Linked DNA regions of Lonchura striata. The protein of the gene in region 2 binds, or shares a complex with, the protein of the main gene of each other region. Links are inferred from orthologs where the notes say so. Each region holds a gene or a part of one and is shown on either strand. Other genes may lie near its edges.

Region 1 (10,919 bases), on a different chromosome or scaffold from region 2:
TCCAGAAGGAAATGCTGTGGGATGCAGAGGAAATGAGGAGTGCCTCAGACATCAGGAGTGAGAATACTGGAAAGCTTCTATTTAAGTTGCTCTTGGAAAATTTCAAAACATCAAAGCAATACTAAATGAGTACTGACACTTTTTGCATTAGAAGTAGCACTTACTTTCCCTCACAGATGGCACAATTAGATGTTAAATATGAATTAATATGTGGTCTGCAAAACACATCTCAACACTAGCTTGGCCATCAGCAAGTAGAGGGTCCCTGCTCTTCTATTTATTCTTCATGAAAAAACAGGACACAACTTGTTTGAATTTTCTAAAAACTCATGTATAGTAATTTAAAAATTACTTTTAGCCTTGCCCTAAAATCTACCACAAATTGAGTCTTCATTTCAATCCTCAAATTATTTATCATAGAGACAGGTATAATTTATAACAAATTTTCATTTACTTTTATCTTCTTTACAACTTAGCATCAGAGAAAATTTCTTCTCAAAATCCCAAAAGCAAATGACACAAAGAGACAGGACAATAACAAAACTCCTAAATCAATCTCTGGGGTTCTTGCTGCCTAGCCATACCTGTCCACCTCTGGCCAGCATGCTGACCCATATAGTACTTGTTGGTCGAGAAGAATTTTCCAGACAAGATCTACACTCTCCTGTATAGGCATATTTTGAATCTTTCTTTGCAAACACATACACTGTGTTTGTAGCCATTTTCTCCTGAGCAATCAGAACCTGTGTGAGAAACAAGAGCACCAGTAAATAAGTGACAAAAGAGAATATTGAAAGTAACACTCACAGTGTTTCAACTATTCCTCCAGGTGCCTCAACTTTAAGAGCACTCCACAGCATGAAGTCAATTGGCCAAACTCTGTATTTTAAAAATACAGATTTAAACGAAATATAAGCTAGATAAGATGGAATACCCAAACAAAATATAAGCTAGTCAAGGTGGAATAAACTCCGGGAACACTGTTGTCTTTTATTACTTACCACACATGCTGGCTATGCTGAGACATTTCACACACTGATAAAGAAAGCATTTCACTATCTGTTTTTCCAAGGCCAATGCACTACACAGGCAAATTTAAATGCCAGCTCAACAATCAAAGCCAGAATTTGTTTTCCCCCAAGAAGAAATAAAAAATTCTGATTATTTTGCTGTGTTTCCCCAGGTTATGAGAGAAAAAACCTGTCAGTTTCACTGGTGAGGCATTAACAGGGTGTAGATATGATTTTCTGAAGCTGCTTCCACAGCAATAGAGACAAGTACCTTTTCTTGAAATGAAATGCATCTGTATAGCTGTGAACAAGCTGGAGAACACTCAGAGTGAGGAACTGCGTCATTTCAGAATGCATGCTGCTCTGCAATACTGAAGAAGGAAATCAAAATATCCAGAGCACTTACTGGCAAACAGTTCACAAAATGAAAAGCAGTTCACAAAACCGAAGAAGGGAAGAACTGAAGATGGCAAATGTGCCTCAGAGAAGAAAAGGTGTCTTGAGAAAGCCTTAAGAGACAACTAAAAGCTCATCTTTCTGTAAGATCAGGAGCTCCCACAGTATCTCTGGTACACCGGAATAAGAGTGTTTATGCTCCTGGCAAAACATATGGGAACAAGTAACAGAACTGCTAGTGTCTGCAAAGATAGCTGTGTAAGGTATATCCCTTACCTTTTCTGATCCATTAATGATGAAGTAGCCACCAGGATCAAGTGGGCACTCGTTCAGCTCACAAAGATCACGGTCAGTTAAACCATTCAGCAAACAGTACGTGGAACGCAGCATGATAGGAATTTTTCCTATAAAGGTTTTCTGATGCTGGGTCTGCAACTGGTCCTCCCCTTCTTTAATAACTGTTTTAGTTATATCCACATACAAGGGGGCAGAATACCTACAGAATAAAAACACCACTGCATCACCTGTCAGTTACTACCTTTCTTACAACCCTGAGTAATGAAGGCAGTTATTCAAGCACACACAAGTGTATTAAGCATTATTACCAAATCACCAATCACCATCTGCATTTAACAACTAGACATGGAAGTTTAAATAAAGCAGCAATTATTACATTTTTAAGGCACTACTATGTTGCAAAAGGTTATTAATTAATAAGGCAGAGGCAGTTCTTCCTTGTGTTTATCCACCATAGAGTTGGCTCTTACGTAAGGTTTCTCAGTCTGGCTTCATTTGGCATCATAGGTGAGGGTGCTCCATCTCTTTCCCAGTGGGTAGGTTTGGAGAGATAGATTTGTTCAAACTTCAACAGGTATCGGGGCTGGAAAACAAGAATATATTTACTTGTAATGGAAGAAACATCTCTCCTATTAGCAACCAGAACTGTTACTGCAGAAGAACAGCCACTACCAATAAATGAAAACACAGCAAGCTGGGTAGCACCAGTTCCTAGGAAGATTTGATAAGACAAGTAAACAAATTAAGACTTGAGGTTTTTGAAAAACTATCTGGTTCTTAAAATGCACAAAAGCTTCCTACAACAGGAGGTGGCACACCCTTGTTGCAAATGTTTTGTAGGTAAAAAAAAACCTCAATCCTTATGTGAAGAAACACCTTTTCCTGGATTTGCAGCAACTGCCAAGTTCTCATGAAAGCTATCTTAAGGAGAATACCATCATTCTTATCTCTGAGCATGGTTGCTAAACCCTCTCATGTGCTCTAAACTGCCTTCAAAATTTGAGACTGAGAAGCAGAGGGAGACAGAAACAAAAAAATCAAGTTTTCCTAATACACACGGTTTCCTTAAATTAGTCCAGCATCTTCAAATGTGGTGAGAGATTGCCTGCAAGTGACTCTGAGGAAAAAACAGGTTTTCTTTTTCTCATCTCTAAACCTATTCCCAAAAACTTGCAAATCATAAATGAGAATAAGACACTACTTGAGAAAGTAAATTAATAGCATTCGGGCAAAAAGAAGCCCAGCACAAACCATACTTTTGATTTGAACAGAGACCAAGCACAGCACAAACATCAGCTGCAGAACTGCACAAATACAGAATTCTGCCATAATATACACAGAATAACAGAGAAAATATTAAGAATTAGTGAGCTAAATGTTTATGAACCATTTGCCTAGCAAAGAAACCAAAAGACATCTCACTTATTCTCTACAGGACAGTTGTTTGCTGGCAAAAAATGCCAAGGAACAGGAAAACCATGTAATAAAATCAACGCTCTGGTGTCCTAGAGTTCATTTAAATCCCTGTAGGGAAGCATCAAGGTAGTGACTAACAGCAAGGCAATGGCTCATCACCATCTGCACTTATGGAACAGGGATCAGACTACACCAGGGATACAGGTGAAAGCACCAGAGCCACTGCAGAAGGTGCACACTCATTGTAGAGGAGCACACTCATCATGGGGTGCAGAATAGAGACAATCTCTATTGTCATAGTTCCAAGGGAAGAACATGAACAACAGCACGCTTTGAAAACCCGGACCTAACCTGAGTCAAAGCTAAAGAGAAGTTTTCAGCTATAAGCCTTGCCACAGTAAAGCTGCTTAAAACCAAAATCTCACCAAAACACAGCTTGCTCTTGGCTACCTGACCTGCTCTAGTAAATCTCTGTCCATGCAGTTTTGCAGAGGAACTGACAATATGAGCTACAGCAGCCACTTGGTCATTTCTCAGCTCAAACAGCAGGACAGGAGTTGAACAGAATTGATGTCAAATGACTTTGAATTGTAAAAACACATAATCTCTGCCAAGGTTCTTCACTTACTGGCTCTTCCACTTCTCCTGAGGCATGCTGGGCTTCAGCTTGTAAATCAATTGGTGGAGCATCTTCAACAATTCTCTGCACAGACATCTGAATAAACTCATCAAAGGAATCCAACTGTTGCCTGACTAAACCCTTTTCATCAAAATAGGAGCTAAAAAAATTAAAAAAAACCAGGTTAATAAGAAATCTTAATTTAATTAATATACTTCACACACCAACAAACTTAAAACATATTTATAACCAAAACTCCACAAGCCATGAGATATAGTACAGAATCAACCATATTTACTTAACCCAAGGCATTCAAACACAGATGCTCCTCACAAATGTTTAATAATTCCCTCCCTGCCTGAAGACACAGACACTTTGGAGTGACAAGACTTGCTGCCACCTCTTAGCTAAGCCACAACTGCATGCACGGTGAGTGCCTCAAAATTCCCTTAAATTGGAAGAGAAACGTGATGACAAACCTCACTGAAAGGGCTCCAGGTCAAGTTTTCAGTAACACTATGAATTACTTTGCTTCAACTAATTTTCCTAGCTGCAGTAGACTAGGAGGATGCCCCCAATTCCAAGTAATAGTACTCAACTTTTAACTTGGATTCCCTGTGTTCCAGCCACACAGGTTCTGGATGCTCACATTTTGCTAGAAAAAATGGTGAAAATACCCCTGTACTGATTTCCTAATGCCAGCAACAACAGTGAGATTAATGGGCAAAACCACGTGCTTGATATGGAACCAAAACCACCCCTTTCTTCACTGAAAAACGCGTGTGCTGGGGGTCAGAATTTCTCAATCCCAGCCGACAGCCTTTTGTTTCTACCAAAAGCCCTCCTGCTCTGAAGGTGCTGCAACACAGTTTAGCGTAACCAAACCGCAGCTCCCAGGCGTGTTCCCGGGAGCTAGCTGGATGTCCCTGCAGACCGAGAGCACAGCTTTTGGCGGGGTAAGGACAGCAAGTTCTAGCAGGTCACCTAATAACAATCCAGCAGGCTTCTTGCCACAGGTCGGGCGTGATCTCATCATCGTCCTCATCATATTGCATATCTGCGGGCAAGTACAAGGTGTGAGTTAGGCTCCGACCGCCGCCGTGTCCCCCCCGCGCCTGGCTCGGGGAGAGGCACCGCATCTCCCATCTCCGGGCTCCCGCGGACACCGGCTCCATCCCTGGGAGGGCCGGGCGGGAGGGAAAGAAGAGGAGAAGGAAAAGGGAAACAAACCCCTCACCTTCGTCCGCGTCGTACATGGTGGCGGCGGGAGCGGCGGAGCGAGGGGCGGGCGCGGGCCGGTGGCGGCGGCGGCGGGACGGCGGCTGCGCGACCCGTGACGTCACGTCGCGTCTCCCGCGAGGCGCCCGCGCGCCCCGCGACGTCAGGCAGCCCCGCCATGCTGCGCCTGGGCCCCGCGCGGCTGTTCCGCCTTGCCCGCCTGGCTCCGCTCCGCGCCCCGCTGCGGCCGTGCGGGGCGGCGGCGACGGGCCACGGCACGGAGCAGGAGCGCTTCGTCTTCCTCGAGTACGAGCGGGACCCGGCTGAGAGGGCGCCGCGCCAGGAGTGGGAGCTGAAGCCGCGGCGGGAGCGGCGGGCGCGGCGCGCAGTGGCAGTGGCGATGCCGAGCCTGTCGGACCCGTCGGTGCCGCCGAGCGGCGTGAGCTGCTCGGGCTGCGGGGCCGAGCTGCAATGCGGGGACGGCGGCGCGCCGGGCTTCGTGCCGGCCGAGAGGTACCGCAACCTGCTGTGCGAGGGCCCCGCGGCACTGCGCGGCGCCGTGTGCCGGCGGTGCTGGGCGCTGGCGCACGGCGGCGGCGCCCCGGCGCTGCAGCTGCCGCCCGCCGAGCACCGCCGCGTGCTGAGCAACGCCCTGCGCCGCCCGCGGCGCCACGGCCGCGGGCCGCTGCTGCTGTACGTGCTCGACGTGACGGAGCTGCCCGATCCCGTGCTGCCGCAGCTGCCGGCGCTGCTGAGCCCCGATGTGCCCGCCGCCGGCGTGCTGGTGGTGGGCAACAAAGTGGACCTGCTGCCCGCAGACCGCCGCGGGCACCTGGGGCGGCTGCGGCAGCGGGTGGCGGCGGCCTGTGCCCGGGCCGGGCTGCGGGGAGCCGCGCTGGTGGACATCCGCCTGGTCAGCGCCAAGACCGGCTACGGCATGGAGGGGCTGGTCAGCCGGCTGCAGCGCTCCTGGAAGTGCGCCGGCGATGTCTACCTGCTGGGCGCCACCAACTCGGGCAAGTCTACGCTCTTCAACACCCTGCTGCGCTCCGACTACTGCAAGTCCCGCGCCCCCGACATCATCGACAGGGCCACCGTGTCCTCGTGGCCAGGTCAGGGCACTGCTCGGCCCTTTGTAGCCCGGGTAATGGGGAATGCGGGGTGTGCAGAAAAAAGCGAGATATGTGCCTCTAGGCTGCTCTTGGCCACCCCTGCGGCAGGAGAACCTGTCACCAAAGCAGTACCTCCATGGTGGGCAGCAAGCTCCAGAAGTGTGCCGTGCTTCACATTATTACCTGGGAGGAGTGGCTGAAGTGTTTAACACAAAGAAAAGGAGGTTTGGGAGATGTTACCACTCCCTGCATCTACCCAGAGGAAGTTGTAGCTAGGTGGGAGGCAGTCTCTTCTCCGAGGCAGCCAGTGGCAGAAGAGGACATAGTCTTAAGATGCACTAGGGCAGCTTGAGGTTGGACATTAGCAGGAATTTCTTCACCAAAAGGGTGATTAGACATTAGAATGGATTGCCAAGGGAGATGATGGAGTCACTGTGCCTGAATGTGGCACTCAGTGCCATGGTCTAGTCAATGTGGTGATGATCTCAGAGGTCTCTTTTCCAGCGTAATTGATCCTGTGATTCCTCACAGGGGGCAGCAGGAATGGGCTGCATGTCCTCCTGAGTGTACTGCACATCCTGTAGCACTAAAGAGGCTTGTTAAACCAGAGTGGGTCTGTGTGCACCCCTGCCAGTTAGGATGGCACCTGATGTGCATGCCTTGCTCTGTCCCTATCCATTAGAGGTGTCCTCCAGTCTGGAGAGGCCAGGAAGTGGAGTGGTGAGCACCTGTAGGTCAAACCAAGATGTCTGGAGTTGAGATTTGTCTGGGGTATGCTAAGGCTCAGCACCACTCAGCTTTGAGACCCTTTTATTCAAACTGTAGAAGAGAACAGCTCTTAAGCAGGTGGATGGCTTGTTTTTGCTTCCCCAAGTTGGGAGGCTGGTACTTTATGGGAGCATCTGTAGTTCCACTTCTGACTTTGTGTTACTGGGTTTCACCAAAAAGTTAAAGAAGCAGTTTTTTGTAATCTTGTTTCTCAGAGCTGAAATGTGTCAAGTAGTCAGAGATCCAAAAATGCCTTCTGTTTGTTTTTCCCAGGAACAACACTGAACCTATTGAAATTTCCAATTATTAACCCTACGTGTGACAGGATATTCCGAAGGCAGGAGAGGCTAAAAGAAGAGGCAGCAAAAACAGAAGATCAGCTAAGCAGTGAAGAAAAAAAGTACCTTAATCAACTTAAAAAGCAAGGTTACCTAGTGGGTGAGTAAAGGTGTTGCCTTTCTGCCCCTAATGGAAACACTGCATCACACAAAGGTTAAGTTATTTTGACCAGTGTTTGCTCCCAGATTAATGGGGACAAGGCCTTTATCTCCTCTACAAGCAGCATCATTAGTACTTTTGAATACTTGTCAGCTGCTGTAGTAGCAGAGGCTTCCTGTGTGCAATGCATCTCCTCTCTGAAGGAGGCTGGCAAATTCTGATAGCTTAGCAGTTTGCAAGGTTATTATATTGCAGGTATGGGCCATCTCTTGTTCCCAAATAAAGAAAATAAGTTTAATTTTAAATAATCACATCTGAGCTGCAGGCTACAAGGGTTGTACATCATTTTAGTATGTATTCAAAAGAAGGGGTTGCCAGAAGATAGTTCTGGTTTTCAGGTAATTTTGTGTTTGGCAGTCTGAGGCATTGAAAATAGAAAGCAGCCTGCTTTACCATAAATTGGAAATAACTAAGTGTCTGTGATCTGGTCCCTGCTGAGATTCTGGGGCATGAGGAGTGCTAAGCAAGAATTATAGAAAGTATTTATCATTTTGGCTTTTGAGCACACAAATTTCTATCCACATAGTGTCTTCATCACCTTTATACTACTGATGTGCGTTTCTTTTAAGCCATGAAAGGGGCAGATGTTTGATTGAAGGAAAGCAAGCTAATAAGTAGATTACCAGGAAAACCTTTCATTTTAATTCAGGAAGAGTTGGAAGAACATTTAAACAGCAGAAGTCTAGCGCTGAGATTGACTTCGACCCTGACAAGCTCTCTTACAGCTTGGATGAAGATCCTAGAGATGAAGATCCTAGTGATCCCCCTAAGAGGTTTGAGGAGAGGGAAGAGTTCATTCACAATGAAGTGAAGGATGCTCGGTGGTGTTTTGACACTCCAGGAATTGTAAAGGAAGACTGTGTAGGTACTCTGTGGTGCTGTGTTTTGGGGCGACAGGGTTTGGGAGGACTGTTCTGCTTTAGCTGCGTCTGTGGGAGAGTGCTTCTGCCATAGTCTTGGCATTAGGATTCTTTTTGCCTGGGAATTGTATTAAGATAAGGTTTGTATGTACCGGAGAGGGGTTCATGTGGTAATGCTGTTGCATTTCTGAGTAGTGCAATACTGCCAGCTTTGCAAAGGAGCTGCAGGACTGTGTCACCAAGCTTCCACAACCTTTGAACCAAGGGAAGTAAGCAAGAATGCTCTTAGCAAGTTCACACCAGCATCACCCAATGGAGCTGACACTTCTTCAGTTCTCCCAACCTACAGAAGAAGGTGGAGCTTAGGGGGATAACCAGAGTTGTATGACCAAACCCCATCTTAGAGAAAGCATTCTCCTGAAGCTAGGAGGTTCTGCAGTGTTGCTGCTACTGGCTCCAGTATGTCAGGCATTTGTCAGTAGTGCTGACGAATTGCACATGTCTAAAACAGGAACGTTTTTACTTTAAGTCTTTTAGTACCCATGCACAGCTGCAGGTCATCTTTTTGGGAAGATTAAATAGACCAGGCAGACAGGAAGGTTCTGAAGAGAATGAAGTGCAAAAATAGTGCTGAGACTTTACAGCTTGAGTGCCATTGCTGTTTTCATGAACACTAGAAGACTTCTTGTTTTCTAGTAATGTATTTGTCTGAGCATAACCTGCTTTACTAACCTGCACTCTGGTCTCTATAAAGATTGGCATCAGCTTAGAGACCTGGATTGGTATCTTGAGATTGATTGTATGTGTCCTTCCCTTCTGATAGAGTTGGATACTTGTGGAAAATACTTCCTGCATCCAGAAATAGTTGCTTCTGATTCTGATTATCCTCACACTCTCTTTTGGAGAGCTCCATGCCAAGTTTCAGATCAAATTTTGTTCCTGCAGTCAATGATCAGTCTGAGTGGAGGACAAGCAGATTGTGGCAGATTTTGGCAGGGGAGATTCTTCTGTTTCTCGCTTACTGCGTAGACCATAATTGAACTGTTGTGTCATATGTTCTTGACATTGCTTTGATTGTACTTTTTCTTCTATCAATATAATGCCAGTACTAATGCCATTGTTCCCACTGAAACATCTGGAATGAGTTATGACAATTTATTTTGCAGGTTTTGAATCTCCTAACAGAGAAGGAAGTAAAACTGGTTTTGCCATCACATGCCATTGTTCCACGGACTTTTATTCTCAAGCCAGGAATGGTCTTGTTTTTAGCAGCCTTGGGACGTATAGACTACTTAGAGGTAAAGGAAGAAAGGATTTTGGGAGCAGCTGCTTTATCTCTTACTGTAGTACCAGCGATAAAAGGTTTTCTGGATAACGTTCCCAGACTCTTTCATTGCTGCTTTAGAGATGATGAATCAGTTATTTAATCACTGCATAAAGTCAGAGTGCCCTGGGATAGGTAGTTGAAAGGTTTGTTACTTGGTACCAGCATGCAATATTGCATAGTATATAATGGAAACTTCTTTGGAATGCTGACAAACATCTTGAGTTTAATGTGCTTCTCATGACATACAGAGAGGCATGAGGGAGGGAGGAGAATGTCAGAATGAACTGGGAAAATAGGTGGGTTTCCTAATTTCTGTGTTTTGTGAAACCTGCCTGCTAAGAGAGAACAGCATAGATATTTTTCTTTCTTGGCAGACCTCTGAAGAACTTGCCTGAGGAAGCAATTAATTGCATATGTATTTTAGTTTCTGTAAAAAGTATTTTTGAAATGTGTCCCCTCCTGCCAATAATTTCTTCCATTTATTAAAAACCCCATGCCATACACCTTTATTGAACTGTGTGGAATTGACCTCCTATGATGGTTCCTCTGTAAGGGGCAGCTTCTTTCATAAGAACATTAGACATTATCATAAGTCTTAGATAATTTTCTCAGTAGCTTGCCCTGTTTTAGGGGTGTGTAGGGCTATTCCTTTGTTTCAGTCTGCTTTCAAAAATCACCACAGAAATGTTGAATTGGTACTTTGCTAAGGACACTCCTGACCTGCTGGAAGAAAACCAGAAAGGTATAGGGGGCAGGATTCTGTAAAGTAAAAAATGTTCTTATATGGCAGGAGCACACATCAATGTATCAGTCTTGTGTATCTATATCCACTTGATATCTTGGAGGACAGTTGTGCTCAGATCATGACAGAAGCTCCTGCCTCAGCTTAGACCTTTGAACCTGGAGGAATTCCTGCCCGTATTTCTGGCTGCTAGCAGTGCTTGGAGAGATCTCTCCCCTCCCTGACCTTGTTCTCTCTTCCTGCAAATGTGATGAGAGTGCCTGCTGAAACCGCTCCACTGGCTTTACATAGCTTGAGAGCAGCTGGAACCTAGTACTGTTGAATGAGCATAGTGTGTTACAAGTGTAGAGTGATAGGAGAAGAAGTACCTACCAGATGTCCATCACCTCTTGCAGTGAATAAGCACACTGAGTTTGTTTTTGTGAATTAAATGAGAGCAGAGATCTCTCTTGGATGATTTACCTGAGCTGAGCAGCTGTGCTGGCCATAAATGTGGCATTGGGGGTGCTTTGAGGCAGGATGGTGAAGCTGTTGGTCTTCTCTTCTGGAAGCTCAAATCCCAATTTTATATAAACCATGGCTTCTGTCATTGACAGAGGCAAGGACTTCTCAAACAGGGAAGGGGCATCAAGCAGGGCAGATTTTCAACATGCAGG
Region 2 (10,219 bases):
TGTGGCTGAGCTGCAACTAGGTGCAAGGGTGGGACACGAGGTTAGATGCACAGCATGTGGCTCATTTCCTTTAATGACAGCAGTGACACATGTGGCATTGAAGAGTCCCAGAGTGATCACCTCTGAAGCAGTGACACCCACAAACTAGATGCCTTTGTTGCATTTATATGTACACACAAATTCAAAATTGTATACACCTGCCTATGCTTTCAGGCTGGCAAGCTTTCCAATAGAAGTGCCCTGTTTTTATATAGGAGCATTGTAGATTTGTTCTTCTGGTCAATAATGTTGTTTTTGCTCAGTTTAGTCACACAGCCTTCTCCTAGTCTCATTGGAAGCTCCCTCTGCAAAACAGTAGTTCATTAGGAGATAATTTATGCATCAATAACATACCTTGGTGACTGTTCATTGCCTATACCTACAAAATAAGGGGAATATCAGTGCCATAGAATTAAGTTTGTTAAATTATAACATAAGGGAACTAAATCCATTGTAACATTTTTTTTCAGTAGCTGAAGAGAAAATGCCTTGCTCTTCACCAACTCATTAGTGGAAAGTCCAGGAGATGAGCGACTATAGATGCTGCTGACCTTTTGTGCTGAGGTAGTACATTACTAGAGAAGAAGATCAGAAAAAATATCAAGGAGTGCAGAAGAACAGGTTAAACTCAGTTCTATGTAACATTTTCTATATACCTACAATGAAAAGGCACTTTAGAAAGTAACAAGTTGATGAAACCTCACATTACCTTTGTACTATTACTAGGTTGAAAATGTTGCATGCTTAAAGCTCCTTCTTGAGAGACAATGGTGAAAAAGGCTAGATAATATTTTTTTATGCCTGAGAGGCACAAAAAGTACCTTGAGTTAAAAAGATAATGCCGATTTTATGGTCATTAAAAAAATTATTTTAAATTAGGTTCAAACCAAGTATCTGAAATTCTCTAACAAGTGTTTTCTTCCTTTGAAAAAAATAATTTGCAGTTGCGTCTTTCAATTTTCTCTCTTCCCCCACTCCCACTCCTTCCTTGATATGGTGAAAATCCTAATAAGCAAGAGTACAAGCTGCCTACAGCCAAATTTACTGCACACTGTCAATCTGATGGAAGACATGGTATGGGTTGGAACTGCAAGCAGAGGCGCAGCACCATTACTGTGAAAACGAAGTATTCTCCAATATATAGCATAGATAAAAATGTATGGCTGTAAATATATAGAAAGAATTAAAAATTATAAATGAATGAATGAAGGCTGCCATCTTTTCAGAACTGCCTTTTTGTGTTGTGTTTTGCAGCAGAAATGCCATGTTGAAGATTTCATACTGCCTAGGATTTTACTGAAATAGGAGCTCAGCCCTGTGGTTGATGTTTTCCAACTCTGTGCCACAGAACAGCTTGGACTAAACAAGTCTGTTATTAACATGTTGCTCAAAAGCAGTTTGAAAACACAAAAGCTCCAACATATATTTTGTCTTAAAAAGACACACTGGAAATTCTTTGCTGCCTCAGGAAATAGGTATGCAGACCATACCCTGTTTTGGAGTAAGTTACGCAGAATTTATTTTCTCTTATTTAAAAATAAATAATAATGATCTGCCCAGATGTTCTTTTTGTCTTTGCAGATTATTTCTTCTCTTTTTTTCCAGCTTACACAGACCAACTGCACCACAAACGAGAGAATGATGCATTACAGTTGAAGATGGCAAAAGTTTTCCCTCCTCTTACTCAAGCAGTTCAAACAATAATGGTAGTTTTGAGATTTAAGTTTGAGTTTTTGTGGCATCCTCATAAGTCCATGAGGTCTTTGCTGACTGAAAATTCAGGTATTCAGAATAAAGGCAGCACTCATCTCCTCCAGCACATGGAATCCTCTCTGATGGTGTCCATCGCTGATACTCTGTGGGAACACCGGCTCCCAGGAGCACATCTTCCCTAGTTCTTGCTGGGCTTTGAGGAAAGCACATGGGTTCCAAAATGCAAAACTCCCATCAGCTTCAACAGGGAAGCATCAGGCTTTTTGCATCTTCCGCTGCACTGATTTTCACCAACTACCACCAGGTTGCATCAATTAGCCTGTTCCTAAAACATTTGAACAGAAATTCTGTGTGGCTGCTGATGATGCTGCCAACTCTTCATCTCACCTAATAGGACAAGAGGAAAATAAAAATGAAAGGCTGTGTAAGTCTCAATTTGGCCATCTCTCTTCTCAGACACATCTGTTTCCATGCAAGCAAGAAGAAAATGGGTGACTAACACACAGCTCTGCAGCTCAACAGCTGGCCCCTGGGTCCTCCTCCATGGCACTAAATGTGTCCCTGGTAAACACAAGGTTGAGATTTTAAATGAGGAATTAATGAAAATGCGTACTTTTTCCTGCTTGTTGTCCCTTTAAATTCAGTTTCCATGGAAACAGCTATGGAAAGGCTGCCTGGAGGAAGCCAGGAAAGATCTCTGCCTGGTCGCCTTCCCCTCTGGGTTGCCAGCTGAGCCACTTCGATTGTCAGGCTTTTACAGAGGTTTTTGCTATCGTCATTTACACATGGAATATGAGTGATGACTCCTCATGGATTCCCTCCCTAAGGAGTCCTGAGGTGGTCAGCCATGCTCCTGCCACCTGCTGCTGGGCTCTCTGCAAGTGGAGCTCCTCTCCTTCCATCTGGTGGAGCACAGGCCCATCTGAGCCCCCATGATGCTGCTTTGCTGCAAATGTCACCCCTGTTAGAGACATCCATTCCATTGCTTTTTTCTTTTGAAATGTGATGGTGCATGTGATCTGAGTACACAGACTGAGCTGGGAGCAGTGGTAGAGGGACAGTTTTGTTGTTAATTCAGTGTTTATCCCGGGGGAACATTTGAGATCCCTCCTGGAGTACTGCATCTAGCCCTGGAGCTCCCAGCACAAGGCAGACACTGACCTGTTGGATAAGGTCTGGAGGAAAGGAACTAAAATGGTTAGAGGGCTGGAGCACCTCTCCTATGAAGACAGACTGAGAGATTTGGGCATGTTCAGCCTGGAAAAGCAGAAGCCCCAGGGAGAACTTTTTGCAGCCTTTCAGTATGTTAAAGGGGCTCACAAGAAAGAGAGACACTTTTTATTCGGAGCCTGTAATGAAAGGACAATGTGCAATGGTTTCAAAGAGGGTGGGTTTAGATTGGACATCAGAAAGAAATGTTTCCAAATGAGGTTAGTGAAACATTGGAACAAATTGTCCAGAGAAATTGTGGATGCCTTATGCCTAGAAGTGTTCAAAGCGAGGTTGGATGGAACCTGGATGGACCTGAGCAACCTGGTCTAGTGGCAAGTGTCCCTGCCCAGGGCAGGGCGTTTGGAATTAGGTGGTCTTTAAGCTCCCTTTCAACCCAAATTGTTCTATGATCCTATGAGCAGGATCCAAAGCAGGTTGTAAAGCAATGGTGTTTGTCTGTGTAGATCCAGATCCACTCTTTTTCCAGATGAACAAAACCAAAGGGTCTTAGACCTACAATATTTGGGGGTGACACAGTCCCAGAAAATGGGGCTGGTCTAACTACTGTTGAGATGCACCCACTTCCATTTTTATTAGCATTTGAGGAGCCCTTAGTAGGCCTATGTAAGGTTGTCTTAAAGAAAACTGAATTTTCAGTGGAAGTTAACTAACAGTAAAAGATTTATCCACCCTCCAAGCTGAGTTCTACAGAAAAACACAGTTCAAATGTAAAAACAAAAGCAATTTTAAAATGCAATTAATTTTAAATGTGACTTACCCTAGTCAATATAATAGTTCAGTGTTAGCCATAATTGCTTCAGATACATATAAAAATGTTGTCCTCCTTGGTTACCTAGATGATTGCCTATAATTAGAAAGGCAGACTCTCATATCTGAGATATAATACTACTGAGATCATTTTTTATGAGCCAGATTAGCAATTTCCTGCATATTGTACCAGAAAATACCCTCTGCTTGCTGCTGGTACAGACTCAGATAACCTTCACCGTTGAGCAACCAGACTTCAAAGAGGATGTAAACTTGTACTGGGGGCAATTCAGAGAGCAATGGACATAGCCAGAGGTCTAGAGAATAGACCTATGAGACTGAACTGAACAAACGGAAGTTATTTAGTATGAGAGGAGGTAAATCAAAGGGCTACATCTCAGTAAAAGGATAAAATAAAGAAGAGAGGAAGCTAATGAAATGCTTTCCATGCCATAGAATCATAGAGCAGTTTGGATTGGAAAGGACCTTAAAAATCATCTAGTTCAAACCCCCTGCAGTGGAGAGGGACACCTTCCATTAGACCAGGCTGCTCAGAGCCCTGGCAAACCTGGCCTTGAACACTGCCAGGGATGGGGCATCCACAACTTCTCTGGGCAACCCATGCCAGTGTCTCCAGCATGTCCATGTCTTTCTTGTGCCTATAGTGGATAGAAGGGAGATAACAAAGTTAAACTGCAAAGGGGGAAAACTTCCCCAGAGATAGTGACAACTGTAAAATAAGGACTTGGGTTTTTCTTAGCCAAATACACCCACCTCAACCTAGGATGGGCAGGCACTTTCCTGACACAGGACATTTTCAGTGTCTCAGATGCCCTCCTATCTTTGGACAGCCTAGCCCAACACTTCCTCATGAGTTCTCTTTCTGGAAAGCTAAGCTTAAATCTTTACTTTTTATTCCCAGGAAGTGATTCACCAGCTGTGTTTTCTAACTTTCTTGGCCTTTGAGCACACCATGATGCTCTGATTCCCTTTCACAGAAGCTAGTCCTCTAGCCACCATTTCCCTCCTAAACAGAAGGGCACTATCATGGTAGTACCTCCTCTCTCCAGGCTTCTCCTCCAGTCCTTCTAGATCATTACAGCATGCTGGGATAACTATTCTGGTACCAGGAGGGAATAACTTCCTGCTATGCTCTGCGCTGGTGCTGCCTCACCTCGAAACCTGCGTGCAGTTTTGGGTGCTGCAGTGTAAGAAAGACATTAAGCTGTTGGAGAGCGTCCTAAGGAGGGCAATGAGGATGGTGAAGGGCTTTGAGGAGAAGCTGTATGAGGAGCAGCTGAGGTTCCTTGGTCTCTTTATATTGGAGGAGACCGAGGGGAGCTCTCGCTGCAGTTACAGCTTCCTCGGAAGGGAAGAGGAGGGGCAGGCACTGATCTCTCTCATAACCAGTGACAGGACCTAGGGAATGGCCTGAAGCTGTGTCAGGGGAGGTTCAGGCTGGGTATCAGGAACAGGTTCTGCACCCAGAGGGTTGTTGGGCACAGGAACAGGCTCCCCACGGGAGTGGGCACAGCACCAAGCCTGACAGCGCTCAAGGAGCATTTGGACAGTGCTCTCACTGTCCAAATGCGACACTCGGGCACGTCCTGTGCAGGGCCGGGAGTTGGACGCGATGGTCCTTACACGTGCCTTCGAACCTAGGCTATCCTGTCACACAGGAACTTTCTGCGGGGGATTCCCGTCCCTTCCCACGGCCCCGCCCGGGCGGGGACCCGAACCCGCGGCTCCGACGCAGCGGGGCCCGCCCCGCCGCGCCGTGCGGGCGGAGGAGGTTTGTCCCTCACGGGCCGCCGTGTGCCGGGTGCGCTCCGCTGCCGCGCTCGTCTCGCCCGGCGCCCGGCCCGGCCCGGCCGCTGCCCCGCCATGAGCGACAAGGGCGAGCTGGACCTCACCGGCGCCAAGCAGAACACGGGCATGTGGCTGGTGAAGGTGAGGAGCCGCGGCCCCGGGCCCGGCCCAGCGCGGCCTGTGGCAGCCGGGTCCCTCCGTTCGTCCCGCCCCGCCGTGCCCGGGTTGGCGCCGTGAGGCCGCGGCTGCCGCGCCAGGCTCGGCCGGTGGCCCGGGACAGCCGCTGTGCCTGCTCCCCTTCCCGGGGACAGCGCGGGCTTGGACCCCGTGCCCGATCAGTAAAGGAGACACCGCAGGGCTGCCGGGAGCTATCACAGAATCAGAATGTTGAGGGATTGGAATGAGCCTTACAGTTCATTCAGTCCCAAACCCCCTTGCGGTGGGCAGGGACATCCAGGACTAGACCAGGTTGCCGAAGGCCTTATCCGGCCTGGCTTTGAATATTTCTAGGGATGGGGCATCCACGGCTTCTCTGGGCAACCTGTGCAATGTCTCACCACCCTCACAGTAAAACATCTTTTCCTTGTCCTTGCTAGTGGTTTGCGATGAGCAACAAACGTGGCCATGTAACTTTTATTTCTCCAAAACTTTGAGAGTTGGACAATGTTTTGAATGTGCCCAGATTCACGTCCTGATTAAAACTGTCCACATCCAGCAAGGAAAGAGGATGCCAGTGTCTTGTCATTACAGCTGCCTTTGGTGCTAGTGAAATACAGCTGTAGTGGGGGGGCTGTGAAAAGGTAGCGAGGGTGTCAAATCAAACCTGTTTGGTGCAGGGCCACAGTCCAGCCTGGTGCCACCACTAACAGGCTGGCATTGCTCTGTTCCCTGGAGTCAGTGTTTTTGCTGTCAAGACATTTTCCTGCCAATACCAAGCATTGTTTCAGAAAGGGGAACTTGAAGCTGATGGGGGAGCATGTGCCCTGCCTGCTTCGTGTCCCCTCTGGGTGTGCTCCTCTTTTTCTAGACCTATATTTATTCTGTCTTGGGAGAAACAGTTCCTTCATCCCCTTTGTTCTTTAGGAATAGTTTCAGACCATCAACTTGAAAGAACCTGTGGGGACAGGTACTAGTCCTGGGTGGTGAGGGGGGTGTAACATCATCACACTTCAGCTACTAAAACTGCTTGCTGCGGCCCTTAAAAACGGTTGGGATTTCAGACTTGCTTTGCTGTGCAGAATTTTTGGTGGGCAGGTTGCTGTGTTGGCTTCCTCTTCTGATGGCTGAGTGTGTGATATCACAAAGCCCCAATGAGCACTGTGCAAGTGCTCTAACTGCAATAGCTTTTCCCTGGTGGCAGCAGAAACCTGCGGAACTGGATCATGACGTTCTGAGTGACAGGATGATAAAATGGCAGATGAAATTAAGAAATTAAGATCTGAAAGAACTAATCTGGTGTGCTTAGAGAAAAACTATCAGAATTATTTGTATGCAGCAGTTGGGTTTCTGCTGGTTGTTGTAATTCAGGAGGAGTGTTTTTTTCTGTACATGGAGATAACTCTAAGAATATGTCAAATGAGCAGAGCCAACATTGGACATGATTACAAAAAGCACAGAAAACAAAAGAGAAAATATTCTTGTACCATCATGTTGCCTCTATCCAGAATGCTCTGCGTAGCCATGGTCTCATTCCCCCTACTGTAGAAAGTGTGCAGACCCGGGAACAGTAAAAAGGAGATCACCAGATCTTGTCTTGGCAACAAGGAATGATGGCTGTGGAGGGAACTCCTAAATACCAACCTTTTAGGCTGGCAAGAGGATTGATTTGGAAATCTTGCAGAGATCTGAAGGAATGAGTAATGTCATGGGTGGATAAGGAAGAAGTGAATAGGCAAAGGTGAACAGGAAAGAATCAGTTCAGACACAAGAATTAGAGGTGTGTCAGATTAATTAATTGCTGGGGCTCAGCAAGAGCAAAGGAGGTATTGTTTTGCACAATGTGCATTTAAATTTTGGAACTTCTTGCAATTAGGAGTTCTGAATTTCAAAACTTTGCAGAAGCTCAAACACAATCAAATTCTGGCAAGAAAATTGACTTCAGAGATTAAAAAGTAATATGCTGACAAACCCCATGTCTGCTAAAACACCCTAGAAATTAGAAGAGCATGCTGGGGAAATAAATTTTCTTCGTATGTTCCTCCTGAAGTAACTGCCACTAGCTGCATTTGGGGACAGGACACTGAACTTGCTTGTCCTTTAGTCTGATACAGTTTGATGTTTCCTGAAGCAAGGACTTTTCAGGCAAATTTGTTCTTACAGCTGGTGCCACTCTGTTTAATGAGAAAACAGGACTGAAAGGAAAGCTGGACTATTACTCTTCCGAGTAAATGTTGATGTAGTCCTTCATGCATGTGTTCTGACCTTACATCTGTCTTCTTTTTTAGTAATGATAGTAAAAAATACTTAAAAGATGCTAACACTGATAGATGATAACATGGGGTATGCAGGATTTTATCTTTTGATTTCCTTTGGACTTGAACTTGGAAACAACCACATCTGTTAGTAGGACTTCCAACTCAGAGGCAAGACAGTGTAGTGTCTGTGTAGTACCTGTACTTTTTATCTTCACTAGCTAGGGCAATGAGGATGAATTTATCCTTCCTTTGAGGGAGAGAGCATTCAGTTCTGATGGAATAAAAAACCTGGCTTATTTGATTTCCTTTTAGCATGCTTTGTGCTAGCACAGGAAGTATTCCAGAGAGGCTACTTAACGGGCAATAAAAAAAGGTAGTGATGAGTATTTTAGAAGCATGAGCAGTAAAAGGAGGTACTATAAAGAGAGTGAGTTGCTTTAGTACAAATCCAGAAAGCCACTAGATTTTTATTTTTGTGTTTTCAGTGAAAGCTAAAGTGGAGAAATAGTAGTAGTATTTGGTTATGTACTTGTGGTAAAGTGAAGCCCATTTAGTGTTAGCCATTAGAATGTTAATTTCTTGCTCTCTGAGTGTGTTGGTCAGATTTTTTAATTTAATCTGTTGCATTGTCTTATAGCTAGAAAGATGATACCTTTATTTAATTATTTTTATATGTTTAAAGAAAAATTTAAATATAGAATCTGACATCAGCCTTAGTTTCTGTTGTATGCACTGCATATGTATTGCTATATAGAGAAAGAGCTAATTTAGTTTTTTGCAGAAAAGTGGAATTAGTTTGTTACAGAGAGGGACTGCTTGTGTGTTCCCTTCTAAAGGAGGTAGGAAGCTGTGCCCAGGCTGAAAGATGAGTGGAGCAGGCGCCCTTGTGTCCTACACTGTCTGTAGCATGCCTCGTGTACTGCAGCCTGGGCAGTGCTGTGATGTGAGTAGCAAGAGGAGAGCAGCAGTGGGAAGAAGTGAAGCTCCTTAGTACATCACATTTGTTCTAGTGATTAAACTGTAATTTTTTTTCTTTTTTGGAGAGAGAACTGTTTGTACCTGCAAATCCCAGAATAAAGACCACTTGTCCTGAAACAACATTCAGTTGCCTTTTGGTTGGGCAGGTCTCTCTTTCTGTGCATATGTAGTTTTCAAAATCTTTCTGTGGGATCTGTGAAAATTCTGCCCTATAGAAACAGGTTGCTCTTGTTTTCTGTGCATCTTTCAAGGACTGTTAAGATTTTGAAACCTGACTCTTTACCATATTTATTATGTTAAAGATAAAAGAAAGGTGCAAAACAAGATGTCTATGGCATTTAAGACTTTATTTAGTCTTTCCTGATTGTTTATGTCATTAGCATGTATGTTTGTGCGCAGCACCTGGTTTTATCTGAAGTACCTATGGGTAGCTGGAAGTAATCCTTTGATCACAGCCCTTCATAATTCTTTGTCTTGCTCTGCATAGCCCTTGACTGCAGGTAGGCCAGCAGAAAGATGATTAAATGCACTCTTTGAGACCTTCCCATACAGTATGATTGATCTGCAACCTCTTAATCTGACTTAATTCCCAGTCTGAATGTATTATATAGCAAGTCAGTGATTTTAACACCATGAGAGCCCTTCACTCCTTGTCCACTCATACTGAATGTGCATCTACCTTATTATCTGGCAGTATAAACAGAGATTAGGTGTAAGCATGTAGTAATATTTCTGTTGAGCCAGCTGGAGCATGTTATAGCATTTATCTTGACTTTAGAAAGAAAACGGTATCTGAGCTGGTATGGGATCTGCTGTAGAAAGTTGCCACTTTGAAAACTGAAAAAATACGTACCAATAGATAGTGCCAATTCATGCCTTTCTGTTGTGCTTTTGAGGTATTTTTGACCAAAGTTGTCTGAACTTTATGGGAACCTGGACTGCCATTTAGTTTGTTTGAGCAGTTGGAAGCATCTCGATTTTGTAGCTGTTCCACATGTACTTCATGGGGTGCTGTGAGTCTAAAGGTAAATGCTAACTAAGCACCAGTTCCAAGATCTGGGGTTCTTGAATAACTGATAAATGTAAAGTTAGTGTTAATTTAATTTGAGCTTTAGGAAGTTAGGAGGTTGTTCTTTGTCAGCAAGTTCTTGGAACTGGCTCTTTTTTTCCCTAGCTTGGCTTAGTTCTTACTCTATACAAGACAAAAATTAGGCTTCAAAATGCTTCTTTGCTGCTTGAAACAGAAAATGCCCCAGGTATAGCTTAGTGTATTTCTCTTTGTTACT
Region 3 (10,793 bases), on a different chromosome or scaffold from region 2:
TCAGAGGTCCAAGTTTATTCAAATCGCAGAAACCCTTGCTTGGGTTTTTTTGTTTGTTTGCTTTTTAAAATCATACACATACTCAATTTCTAAAAGTTTCTGCATTGGATTTCCTTCACCATAGTACCTGATTCAAGACCCTCTTTTTCTCTAGGAACTACAGTGAACTCAGTTCCTTAGACTACATATGATGATACCAACTTACATCTTTACATCATTTGTTTATTCTTCCAGCACAGAATTGGTTATGCCTTCTTAGGGTACAGGAAGGAATAAAAGTATTGACAGGTTTAGAAGTTAGAAGTCCATTAACTTGTTTGCTCAAAAAAAACCAAATTGTGAGCAGAGAACATAAGATGCATGCCCAACTGTTTAGCTTATACAGTTTGGTTACTTTTAACCCTCTGTAAGCCATTTATTGTAAATTTAAGCTGAAATACAGGGAAGACAGCAGCAAAGCTGTACAGTTAACCAGAGAAAAAGACAAGAACTGCAAGAAGTTTATTACAGACTGAAAAGGAAAGTCACAATAGAAATGGAGCACTAGGCATGCGATATACAGAGAAGCTTAACATGTGGAATTCCAAACATGACTTCTCAAATGCTGTAGTTTGAAAAGAGTGATGGATGATTTACCTTTCAGCAGAATCTGGATGGAAAATAAACTAGGATTCCAAAGAAAGGAAACACACCCTTCTAAATAAATTGTATTAGGCTATAATGCCATGTTAAAACTACTGATTATTTCTCCATTAAATGACCCCCCAACAACCTTCCACAAAATAAATTATGAGGTCAGTGTTTGATCAGTCTCTCGAGATCAATCTCAAGAAAGAGATAAAAAACCATAAACCATTTATAAATAAGATTTAAACTTCTTATTTCAGGTAAAGACACGTGGCTGGTTCTTAATCTACATGACCAGGGAAGCACCCACTTGTGAAAGAAAGATTAAACAATTTAGACCCAAACTCATTGTTCTATACAGTCAGAGAAAAGGGAAGGTACCAGAAATGTCATGAAGTTAAATTTTGCAGGGCTATTTGCTCATCCCATGAACTCGAATATACACAATTCTACAAAACTTTCTCTGGACAGCTTTTTGATTAAAAACATCTAGTGAAATTTTCTCCTGAAGATTCCTCCTTCTGAGGAAAAAAACAATCTGAACAAAAAACAAGGATAAACCTACCAATTAATCTGCTGTCTACTGGACAAAAGAAAACAAGCAGTAGTGGGAGAGTCAGTAAAGAAAACTGTTCCTTATGAAAAGCCTTTCTCTTTACACTTCTTTTTCTCAAAGACAAAATGGTGGCATCTATCTATCTAAAAGTTAAGCCAGTGTCTGAGCTAAAGTTACAAATACAGAGTAAAAAAACCCAAATAACCAAACCATGACAATACAAAGCTTTTTTCTTTACAGCAAAAGGCAATATGGGAAAAATAACTAAGCTGAAAACATCCCCTCATAACCAAAAATCCAAGCCCAGCTTTCTTGATTGTTAGGTAGAGCTTGGGAGTCTGATCACATAACTTATTGTGACTACTGGCTTCAGTGAAAAAATACAAGCAATTATATCTATAGGACTGGTCTCTAATTTCTGTCACCCCTTTAGTTTATAATAGTCTAGGGCAATAGATCTTGTTGTCCCAATCCCTCCTTCCACTCCAAACTCCCACCACCTCTCCCCAAACTCAGAACAACTCGGAAAGCACAGCCTTGGTAAAAGTAGGTAAGTAGTATGGGGCATTTGTAACATGTTTTAACAAAAAACCCCCAACGCTCCCAACCTCAAACAACACCACAAAACAGACCAACTCTCATCCTGCTGTATAAAACCCATCCAGTTAAGAGCAGCATCTGACCATGCCTCCAATTTACAAATGTTCCATCAAGCACAGATCATACTTCAACTGACATTCTTTACTTTCTATCAGTCACACTATAATCAGATTCAATCACACACAGGAACACAACACATCCACAGAGGACCTCATACAGCATTCCAATACAGAAACACTACTCTATTTTTTGGGTCATATCTTGCAAGATAAAAACCTAAAGGAAAACCAGAGAGCATGCATCAAGAATTCTCAAGGGAACTCCTCAAGTGTATAATTTTAAGTCTTTTAATAAAGATACCACATTCTTTCAAAATGAGAAACAAAATCCAATTCTAGACTATTTTTTTCTATGAAAATGATGCATTTTCTATAGTAGCCACTTCTATGTAGGACTTACATGCCACAGTGTTATCTATTTAAAACAGTAACAACACAAACTATTGAAATTCACTGTTCCAAAACTTGCAGTAATCTCATTTCTCTGGTTTGTCTCACTTCTGAGTAATAGGAAACGAGTTCTGGTCCATTAACTCGCCCACTCTCTCCTGGAGGAAGTTGACCAACTCAGCTAACACAAAGACATGAGTTTCATCCAGGTCTTGTATGATGAACTTCTTTCCCAAAGCATTTGACTCATCCAAGTAGAGCAGAAACTGCTTCATTGCCGGGTCACTGTAGAGACAAATACACATCAGACTCTACCTCACAAGTTATAGTTACAAACAAAAGAAACACCATTCAGAGATATTCCTAAAGGGTTTAGGAAAACTAAAATTAATTTTCATAACTTAAATACACTCTGTGAAACTTTAGTAAAAGTTGATTCTTTCCAAGTGGTTTTGGTTACTATAGAGACAAAAATAAAATTGTAATAAAGTCTAATGAGTAGAACCAGCTGCTTGATTAGCAGAGAAATTTCCGTTTGCTGCTGCTAAAGCAGATTCAAAAACTCCCAAACCAAAACTAAAACTCAAAAGTCCAACCCTTAATAAGGCAAGACTGAATTTACATTTCTGATTTCAGCAATAGCCTCATAAAAACAGGTTTCCTTAAAGTATAGGGATAACCAAAAGACAGGAGAACACAGATCTCACTCAAAGTAGTATAGCACAGACAAAGAGTGCTCATATAAGAATTGTATTATTTCTCACACTCCAACTGAACAGTCATGATATCACCTTCTAAATAAAATTTAAATTGTTTAGAAGAAAACATTTTGGAAGTATGGAACTGCTTTTGTGCAGTTTTAGATTGCAAACATATTAGGAGACTTAAGTGTACAGCAGAAATCTTACACATCATGTAACGCTATATGACCCCACAAATCTTGAGTGATGCTTCCTTTAATTTTGGAGGTAGCCAGAGGCCTGAGTCTCAGTCCAAAGATGAGATTATATGAAAACAGGTACATTGCACCTACACCAAAAAGCTGACATTTACCAACTCCAAGCACATTCATTTCAAATATGATCTACAAACAGAACCACATGTTAACCCTGCACCAAATTCAGCCTAGAGCTGATTAAATAAAAACAAAACAGGAATGAATAAATGAAAGATTACCTCGTCTCCCTCAAGAATCAGTAAAGAAACACTTGATTCACAAACAACAGCAAGAAACTGCTCGCAAGCAATACAAAGAACAAGAGGGAGCATCTAATATTTGCAAGGAAAAATTGCCAAGGTAACTGGATTGCTCATACTAGGGTTAAGTTGTACCTGACAAGCATATAGATAACTTACATATACAGCTAAAAGTTTAACTTGTAAACGTTTCAAAAGACGTGACAATATTAGGGGAGCATTAGACATGGTAGAATATAGCTTTGAAGCATAATTTCTCATAGTGAATGCTAATTTGAAGTATTTTACATCCTTTTCTCTATTTTGCTAAATTAAAATAATAACCTGGATTTTTACAACTATGTGATTTCTAACTTTTTCACCATCATATTTTTACTCCATATTCATATGCAGTTTTTTCTTTAAGGAGGTTAGGCATAAGTGGAAAACAATCTCTTGAACAGAAAAATGGGCCTTTGGCATTATGACTATCCACAATTGCCTTCTTTTTCTTCCCCAAAGGCCGCACTTTTCTCTGCTTGTTCAGCACCACCCTTCCCCACAATACCTCCTTTTGTCTGGACTCTTCAGTTACTTAAGATTAGTTCCAGGTCTAAAGAAACACAGTCTTTGACACGAGGAGAGGCAGTAAATGCTGCTACTCACCACTCAACCAGAACACCTTTCAGAACATTCACCATCTTCTCAGCTCTTATGAATGCTGAAGAGTCGGCAAGAGCAACCCCTGTTTTGGATCACACTGTGAAAAAAAGAGTTCACTCTTTAGAATTCTTAGAATTTTAATAAAGGATAAAAGAAAGACAAATTTCCAGAGCATGGAGATAGCCTAAAACCTCTGTTCTCTCTATAGTTACATTGCTGGGGTTACCTGTGAATTCAACAGTTTATACATTATTCAAACATGCTTTTGAGATTTTGACGTTTCTCTTGTTTGGTTTTAACCTCTGACTTGTCTGCAGGACATTCTGTAGATCAGATCCATATATTTTATTTCTTCCCGTAGCTCTATCTTGTTGTTTCACACTTCCTGATAGCAAAGAATCAATAAATCCTTCCTGAATGCTTATGCTCTGTTTTCTGTCACTGTTATCACTTGGAGAGGCCAGTCCGCAGATGTAAGAAATAAAATAATTGTTTTACGCGATTCTGTGAGTCAGCTACATTGAAGCATTTTAGTCTATTTTAACAGTTTGCTAAAAGTTATGATATAATATATTTATCACGCTATTCACATTCATATGAACTATACAGTGCACACATAAGCTGACAGGTCATATTATAGAAAAGCAGTTAAAAGTAAATATAAATTGTACCGTATCAAAATACTTGCGATGCAAAAAGCGAAATAAATGCGAAAGTCAGTATTACATTATCATCTACAACAGCACTGGCGATCACGGGAAATGTGGAAGCACAACACGCCCCACACACCCCCAACACGCAAATCCAAACAAATAACGCCTCGGTTTTACGCAAAGACTCTTTACGACAATTCTACTCCCCGGCGGAGTTGCTGGCCCGTCCTGGCCTTCACCTCCTCCTTGCTCAGAGGGGTTCCCAGGAGCTCCGGTGCGGTCCCTCACCTCCGCCGCGTACGGACCGGTCCCGCTCCCTCACCCGCTCCCTCACCTCCGCCCTCGTCCCGCGCCGCCTCCCCGCCGGCGGAAGTGCCCCGCCCGCGCACGCGCAGGCCGGCCCCGGCAGCCGCCGCGGATTGGCGGGGCGGGCGGCGGCGCGCTGACGTCACGCGGCGCGCGGGGCCGCGCGGGGAGCGCGGCGCAGGCGGAAGGTGGGAGCGGCGGCCCGGGCCGGGGGCGCGGGAAGGCGCTGGGCGGGCGGGATGGGGCTCGGGGCGCGCTGTTCCTCCCCGTTGGAAAGAGGCACGGAGCCACCCCAGCCTGCCTCCTTGCTCGTCTACGTGTTGCATTGTTTAAAGTTGTGTTTGCGGTAGTGTTTTTATTTTATATATATTTTTTTTTAATACGCCCCAGATGCGCAGTCGCGCGGCGGGCGGGTGGGGACCGCACCCCGGTGCGGGACGGGGCTCGGAGCTGCCTGGGCCAGCTGTGGAACGGTGCGAAATGGGTCCTTCTGCATTATACTTGCATGTGGCTAAGCACGAGAAGCCCAGCGTGAGGCGGCAGTGCGCGCTCCAGCCCCAGAGCAGCCGGCTGGAGCTGGCGGCGGGCCCGGGGCGGCGATTCTGCCCCTCCTCCGCTCTGCTGACACCTCACCTGGGCTCCCCAGCATCACAAGGACGTGGGGCTGCTAGGCAAGTCCAGAGAAGGGCCACGAGGTTGGTAACAGGGCTGGAGCACTTCCCCTGTGACAGCAGAGCGAGGAAGTTGTGGCAGGTCAGCCTAGAGAAGAGGAGGTTGCGTGGAGACCCCACGGCCACATTCCAGTGTCTGAGGGTCCTGCAGGGAAGTCAGAGAGGCACACTTAATCGGGAGCTGTAGTGTAGGACAAGGAATAATGGGTGCAAGCGAAAAGGGGAGACATTTAGATTAGATATTTTAAAAGAAATTCTTAACTGTGCAGGTCGTGAGACACTGGAACAGATTTCTCAGGAAGGTTGTGGATGCCCCAGCCTTGGAAGTGTTCAAGGCCAGGCTGGAAAAGGCTGTGAAAAACAAGGTCTGGTGGGAGGTTCCCCTGCCCATGGCAGGGATGTAGGGATTAGGTGATCTTTAAGGTCCATGCCAGACCCTTAACATTTGATGATTTGATGCTTGCCCTTGGACCTGAACAGGAGCTCCTGGCAACGGAGGAGCCTGCTGTGTTTGCAGGTGCATGTTCTAAATTTTAGTAGTTGTGGCACCTGCTGTCACTGAACCACATGTTTATTTCAGATTGTGGTTAGAGAGTAAATGTGAGTACTGTGATTCTATGAACCAAGGAACTGTCATGAGACAGGGAGTTTGGAGGTGGGAGATTTGTCTCTAGAGGACTGATGATCAAAATCTTAAAAGTGTTTCACAATTGAAGTGAATGGATAAACGAGGTTGAAATGACGGAAGTCAAAAAGCAGTCTGCCGTAATTTTGGCAATGCTGGGGTAATGCTGATGTTTTTCAAAAATCTCCCAAACACAAGCAAGAGAAAAGGGAAAAACAAAACTTTCTGGGAAACAAGAAAAGAGGGAAGACATGTTAAAAAGAGTCCTTTGTTCAGAGATATTGGACACTGATGATAAAACTGATATAAACACTTTTCTTGGTCTGCTGAGATTACCTTGAACTCAAGGAGACTATCAGGCTTCCATATTTCAACATCAGGTTTACACATGTGACATTTTATCATTTTGAGTTAATTGTGATTGTGGTACCAGAAACCTAATTTGATTCGTATTTGAGAAATACTGGTGTGTTTTAACATCTCTATAAACACATTAACACAATATTTCAGTTAGTATAATTGCACCAATGCAGACACTAAAATTTCACTTAGAAGATAGGAGTTTCATGTTACTTCTGCACTGTATGCAAAAAGTGTTTGTTTTTATGTAGTAGTTCTTTAAGTCTTGTTAGTCAAAATAAAAGACTTACTTGCCAACACAATAAATTATGAACTTTTAAATGGGGTTGGTTACTGAGTTGTATTAAAGCCCATGTCATGCTGAGAAATGTCTTGATGGATATAGTACCGTATCTGGTATTTACGGAAGAGTGACTAAAAAGTAGGAAAGGAAACTTAGAAGCAGAGAAGTTAATTGGACATACTTAGTCACTAGAGAGAGTAACATAATTGACAAAAAAACTGCTTTAAGCTTTTATTATAACCTAAATTCAGCCCCTAAATTGAGAATTCAGCCCATAAATTGAGAAATTTGTAGAGTTTTTTAGTCCGAGTGCTTTATATGGAGCAAAATGACACAAACATGGTTTATTGTGACCTTTGCTGTAAAAAGACAAGAAAAAATGCTACAGAATTTTTGCTGTAATTCTCAAATTTATAATTACTGTTTTTCTCCCCAATATGCAGAATGTCAGTGGCTGCTTACTGTGTATTTTGCTACAGAAAAATAGGAACTTCTGGTCCAGCCACAAAAAAGCATCTACCCTGGAATGATATCAGTAAGTACAGTTCATTATGTGTTGATCTGAGGTGTTAATAAAAAGGAATAACATGACACTGTGCATAATTCAATGATACTGAAGGTTTAAACCCTTGAATGCTTAGTGATTAAAAGCTTCTGTTTGTCCCTGCTCTCTGATTCTGACCTTGCTTTGCATAGTGATCTGTAATATGACACCAGCAGATTATCTGGGAGCAGATACAAACACTTGATGAGGGTCTTTCCCTAACTAAATGTGATCTCCTTAAACTATCTTTAATTCCACTTGTATCTGATTTTTTTTTTTTTTCTGGTAATCTCTAGAGCCATGAAATAATTACATTCATAAACATTGAATAAAGCTTGTTTTTATTATTTCTTTTTCCTTATTTACTTCAAGCCCTGCTTAGTCTCTGTTTCCTTTGGTGTCTTCAGCATATAATGACAATTCTTGCAATTCTGAAATTTATTTCTGAGCATTAAAGATAGGATATTTCAATTTCTGCTCTCCAGGAAGCATTGCATTTGTTTTTTCTTTTTCAAACTTCTCTGCCAGTTATGTCATCAACATGTAGCTGCTGCCTCTTGTTTGCATACAAAATTCTTATGGCCTCACAGATAGGGAAGCTGGTAGCAGTGGTTGTGGGGCAAATCTCGCAATTCATGCTGAGGAAAAGAAATTGTTCATGATAAGTGAGATGTGTTACATTGGGTTTGCTGCTGCCTGGTAATGATAAGAGTTTATCTGTATAGAGATCCTTATATCCAGATAATCAGATCAACTTTGTAGATACAAAGTAGCTGAAATCTGGAAGGAATAATTTTGTTTAAATGGCAAATTCTTGCTAGTAGCATGTGTTTATTATCTGTTTGCTTTACACATTAGATTAAATTGAATTTTTTTTTTATGTATTTGCTTATGGACTTTGCAGGACTTCTCAAAAACCATACATAGTCCTGTATGTAATAATATATACATTGAATAAATAGCTGCAACCTGTAAGAAAAAGTTAACTCTTTAAAATTATTTCAAGTTCTAAATTACTGCTAGTGTTACAGGCAGAGAAAGTTTGCTGTTGATTCTGGTAGCTGAGCAGTGTATGCAATTGAGAGGTAGCAATATTCAAAGTAAATAGAACTGGCAGGATACATGTTTTATCATCTTGCTCAGGAGAGCAGGAAATCCGAATCAAATAATGTTTTCTCCACTTGTAAATTTTGGTTAATAATTTCTTGAAAGCTAGAGAGCAATAGAATTTTTTTTTAAAGCTTGTTCTTAATATTTGGTATTCTTATTGTCTGATAATCAAATGGTAGCTGTGTTTATATTGAGGTGATGCATCCAACTTTGACATTTGGTTTTGATTTTTTCAAGGAAAAATTGCAAAGGTAACTGGATCACTTATACTAGGGTAAGTTGTAACTAATGAGTATATATGTAACTTATGGGTAGAGTTAAAATTTTAATATGTGTATCTGTCCAAAATAATGATAATACTAGATGATGTTAGACATGGTAGAATATAGTCTTGAAGCACAGTTTCTGATAGTTATAACTTATTTCAAGTATTTTATAGCCTTTCTCTACTTTGCTAAATCAAAATAATCTACAAACTTATGTATTTTGTAAAATCTCTATCATTTATGCCAATGTGACTGCTATTTTTTATTGTATTGTTTTTGTTGATATTCATATGCAGTTTTTTTTTTCTTTAAAGAGGCTTTGTATTCATTACCTATGAAGTCCTGTCCTTAAATAAGTTACTGCAAATTGATACTCAAGCTTTACATCAAGAAAAACTTAAATCCTATGTATACGTACGTACAGCTTCTCTAAGTCCAAGTGAATATCAAGGTAAGATGCATAATTGTTTGAGTTCTGAAAACAGAATTCTAAGAGAATAGAATGTTTCTGGAAGTCACCCTTATATAACAAGTAAAGTTGTATTTCCTGAAGTCTGTTACCAAGAAATATTACCAAATTTAAGCAGCTGACTGGTTTGTTGTTTTGTTTTGGTTTTTTTTAAGGTAGTTCTTTCTATATGTAGTTCTCTATATATCAGATAATTCTCTTTATATAATGTCTATATATATGTGGGTGTATTTAATTTTCCATATTTTTATGAAAAGTGAGGTGAGGGAACTGTCTTTCAGACTTCCAGTAATATAAAAATACTCTTCTAGGGATTACATACAAAGCCAGAAAAGAAATCCATAAAGCAGTGAGGAGAATTCTAGAAACAGAAGCTAAAATCTTCCGGAGACCTTTTAATGGTAGGTATTGAAAGCAGAACTTTATGATTATTGGTTTTTAACAGTAAGAAGTAGGGCAATTAGGAAGTCAAACATTTTTTCTTACAAAGTTAGCATGTTCTTTTGTTCTTGAAACAGTGATAATATAGCTTATAATTTCTTTATTTATATGGATTATCAATCGATTGTCTATTTTCTGTGTATTAAAACAATTTATTTTCTTAAAGTAAATGAAAGTGATGGTTAAGAGAAGATTTGAGGGTTGGTTTTTTCCTTATTCCAGAAGAAATTTAAAAGTTAAAGTACCAAGTTAATATTTGATATAATTTTTGTGTAAAAAAGGTGTTTGTGGGTTGAAATACTCTAAGTCTCATTTTAGAAAAGTATGTATGCTTTCATCAAAATTGACATTATTAACTGAAAGCAGTAGTTTTTATTATCAGTGTTGCTGCTTTTTCAAGTAATTTGAAACAAGAACTTCCATTTGTATCAGAAACTGTGCTCTTGAGGCATACTGCCTATTCTCATTTAACTCTCTATGAAATTATAATAGCAATGTGCATCTCCACTGTCATCTTATGAAATTAATTCTTGAAAGTCAGAGCCTCAAGAGTTGCTAATAATTTGCAGCTCCTGATGGTAATTCTGATTGATCAGTGCCAGCCAGGGGTTATGTGTGTCACATAGATAGTTGAAATATCAACTTCGTGCCACTAAAATGAGACAGACTCACACTTTTAGGATCAGCATTTTACTGATGTCATTCTGTCCTTGTTCATTTTACTAATTTAAGTTTAAAATGTTACTGTAAAATTACTGTGAACAAATAATATTCAAATATTAAAAAACCTACATATTTCCTTACTCCACAAAGAGAAACGTGGCTGGTTAAAATGCTCATTAAGAATAATGGATTTACTTGGATTTAATTTGTTTCCTGGTCAAAGAACAATTCAGTACCTTTGATGGAGAAGATCATGAGTGTGCCTTATGGCTTCTCTTAAAGAGAAGTCAGTCAGAAGACAAAGCAATCCGACTGCAGGCTGTACAAGACC

What was found.
Region 1: GTF2F2 (region 2) and POLR2B share a complex: the UniProt entries of both Homo sapiens proteins name them as parts of the TBP-based Pol II pre-initiation complex. The link is inferred for Lonchura striata from reciprocal best matches to the Homo sapiens genes GTF2F2 and POLR2B.
Region 3: GTF2F2 (region 2) and GTF2H5 share a complex: the UniProt entries of both Homo sapiens proteins name them as parts of the TBP-based Pol II pre-initiation complex. The link is inferred for Lonchura striata from reciprocal best matches to the Homo sapiens genes GTF2F2 and GTF2H5.

Annotation. Positions count from the first base shown.
Region 1 is NC_134606.1:58,660,463-58,671,381, forward strand, and holds the start of POLR2B (DNA-directed RNA polymerase II subunit RPB2), read right to left. Parts: upstream 5,056-10,919; 5' UTR 4,995-5,055; coding exon 4,976-4,994; intron 4,796-4,975; coding exon 4,723-4,795; intron 3,899-4,722; coding exon 3,748-3,898; intron 2,287-3,747; coding exon 2,174-2,286; intron 1,903-2,173; coding exon 1,683-1,902; intron 744-1,682; coding exon 585-743; intron 1-584. Other genes in the region: NOA1 (nitric oxide-associated protein 1), read left to right, coding at 5,135-6,068, 7,110-7,274, 7,984-8,195, 9,361-9,492. UniProt on the Homo sapiens protein: Catalytic core component of RNA polymerase II (Pol II), a DNA-dependent RNA polymerase which synthesizes mRNA precursors and many functional non-coding RNAs using the four ribonucleoside triphosphates as substrates.
Region 2 is NC_134604.1:60,919,298-60,929,516, forward strand, and holds the start of GTF2F2 (general transcription factor IIF subunit 2), read left to right. Parts: upstream 1-5,527; 5' UTR 5,528-5,616; coding exon 5,617-5,682; intron 5,683-10,219. UniProt on the Homo sapiens protein: TFIIF is a general transcription initiation factor that binds to RNA polymerase II and helps to recruit it to the initiation complex in collaboration with TFIIB.
Region 3 is NC_134605.1:53,865,334-53,876,126, forward strand, and holds GTF2H5 (general transcription factor IIH subunit 5), read right to left. Parts: upstream 5,132-10,793; 5' UTR 5,059-5,131; exon of another isoform or gene 4,964-5,058; intron 4,169-4,963; 5' UTR 4,110-4,168; coding exon 4,075-4,109; intron 2,518-4,074; coding exon 2,337-2,517; 3' UTR 2,115-2,336; downstream 1-2,114. Other genes in the region: protein SERAC1, read left to right, coding at 7,414-7,504, 8,861-8,897, 9,204-9,340, 9,670-9,759, 10,686-10,793. UniProt on the Homo sapiens protein: Component of the general transcription and DNA repair factor IIH (TFIIH) core complex, which is involved in general and transcription-coupled nucleotide excision repair (NER) of damaged DNA and, when complexed to CAK, in RNA transcription by RNA polymerase II.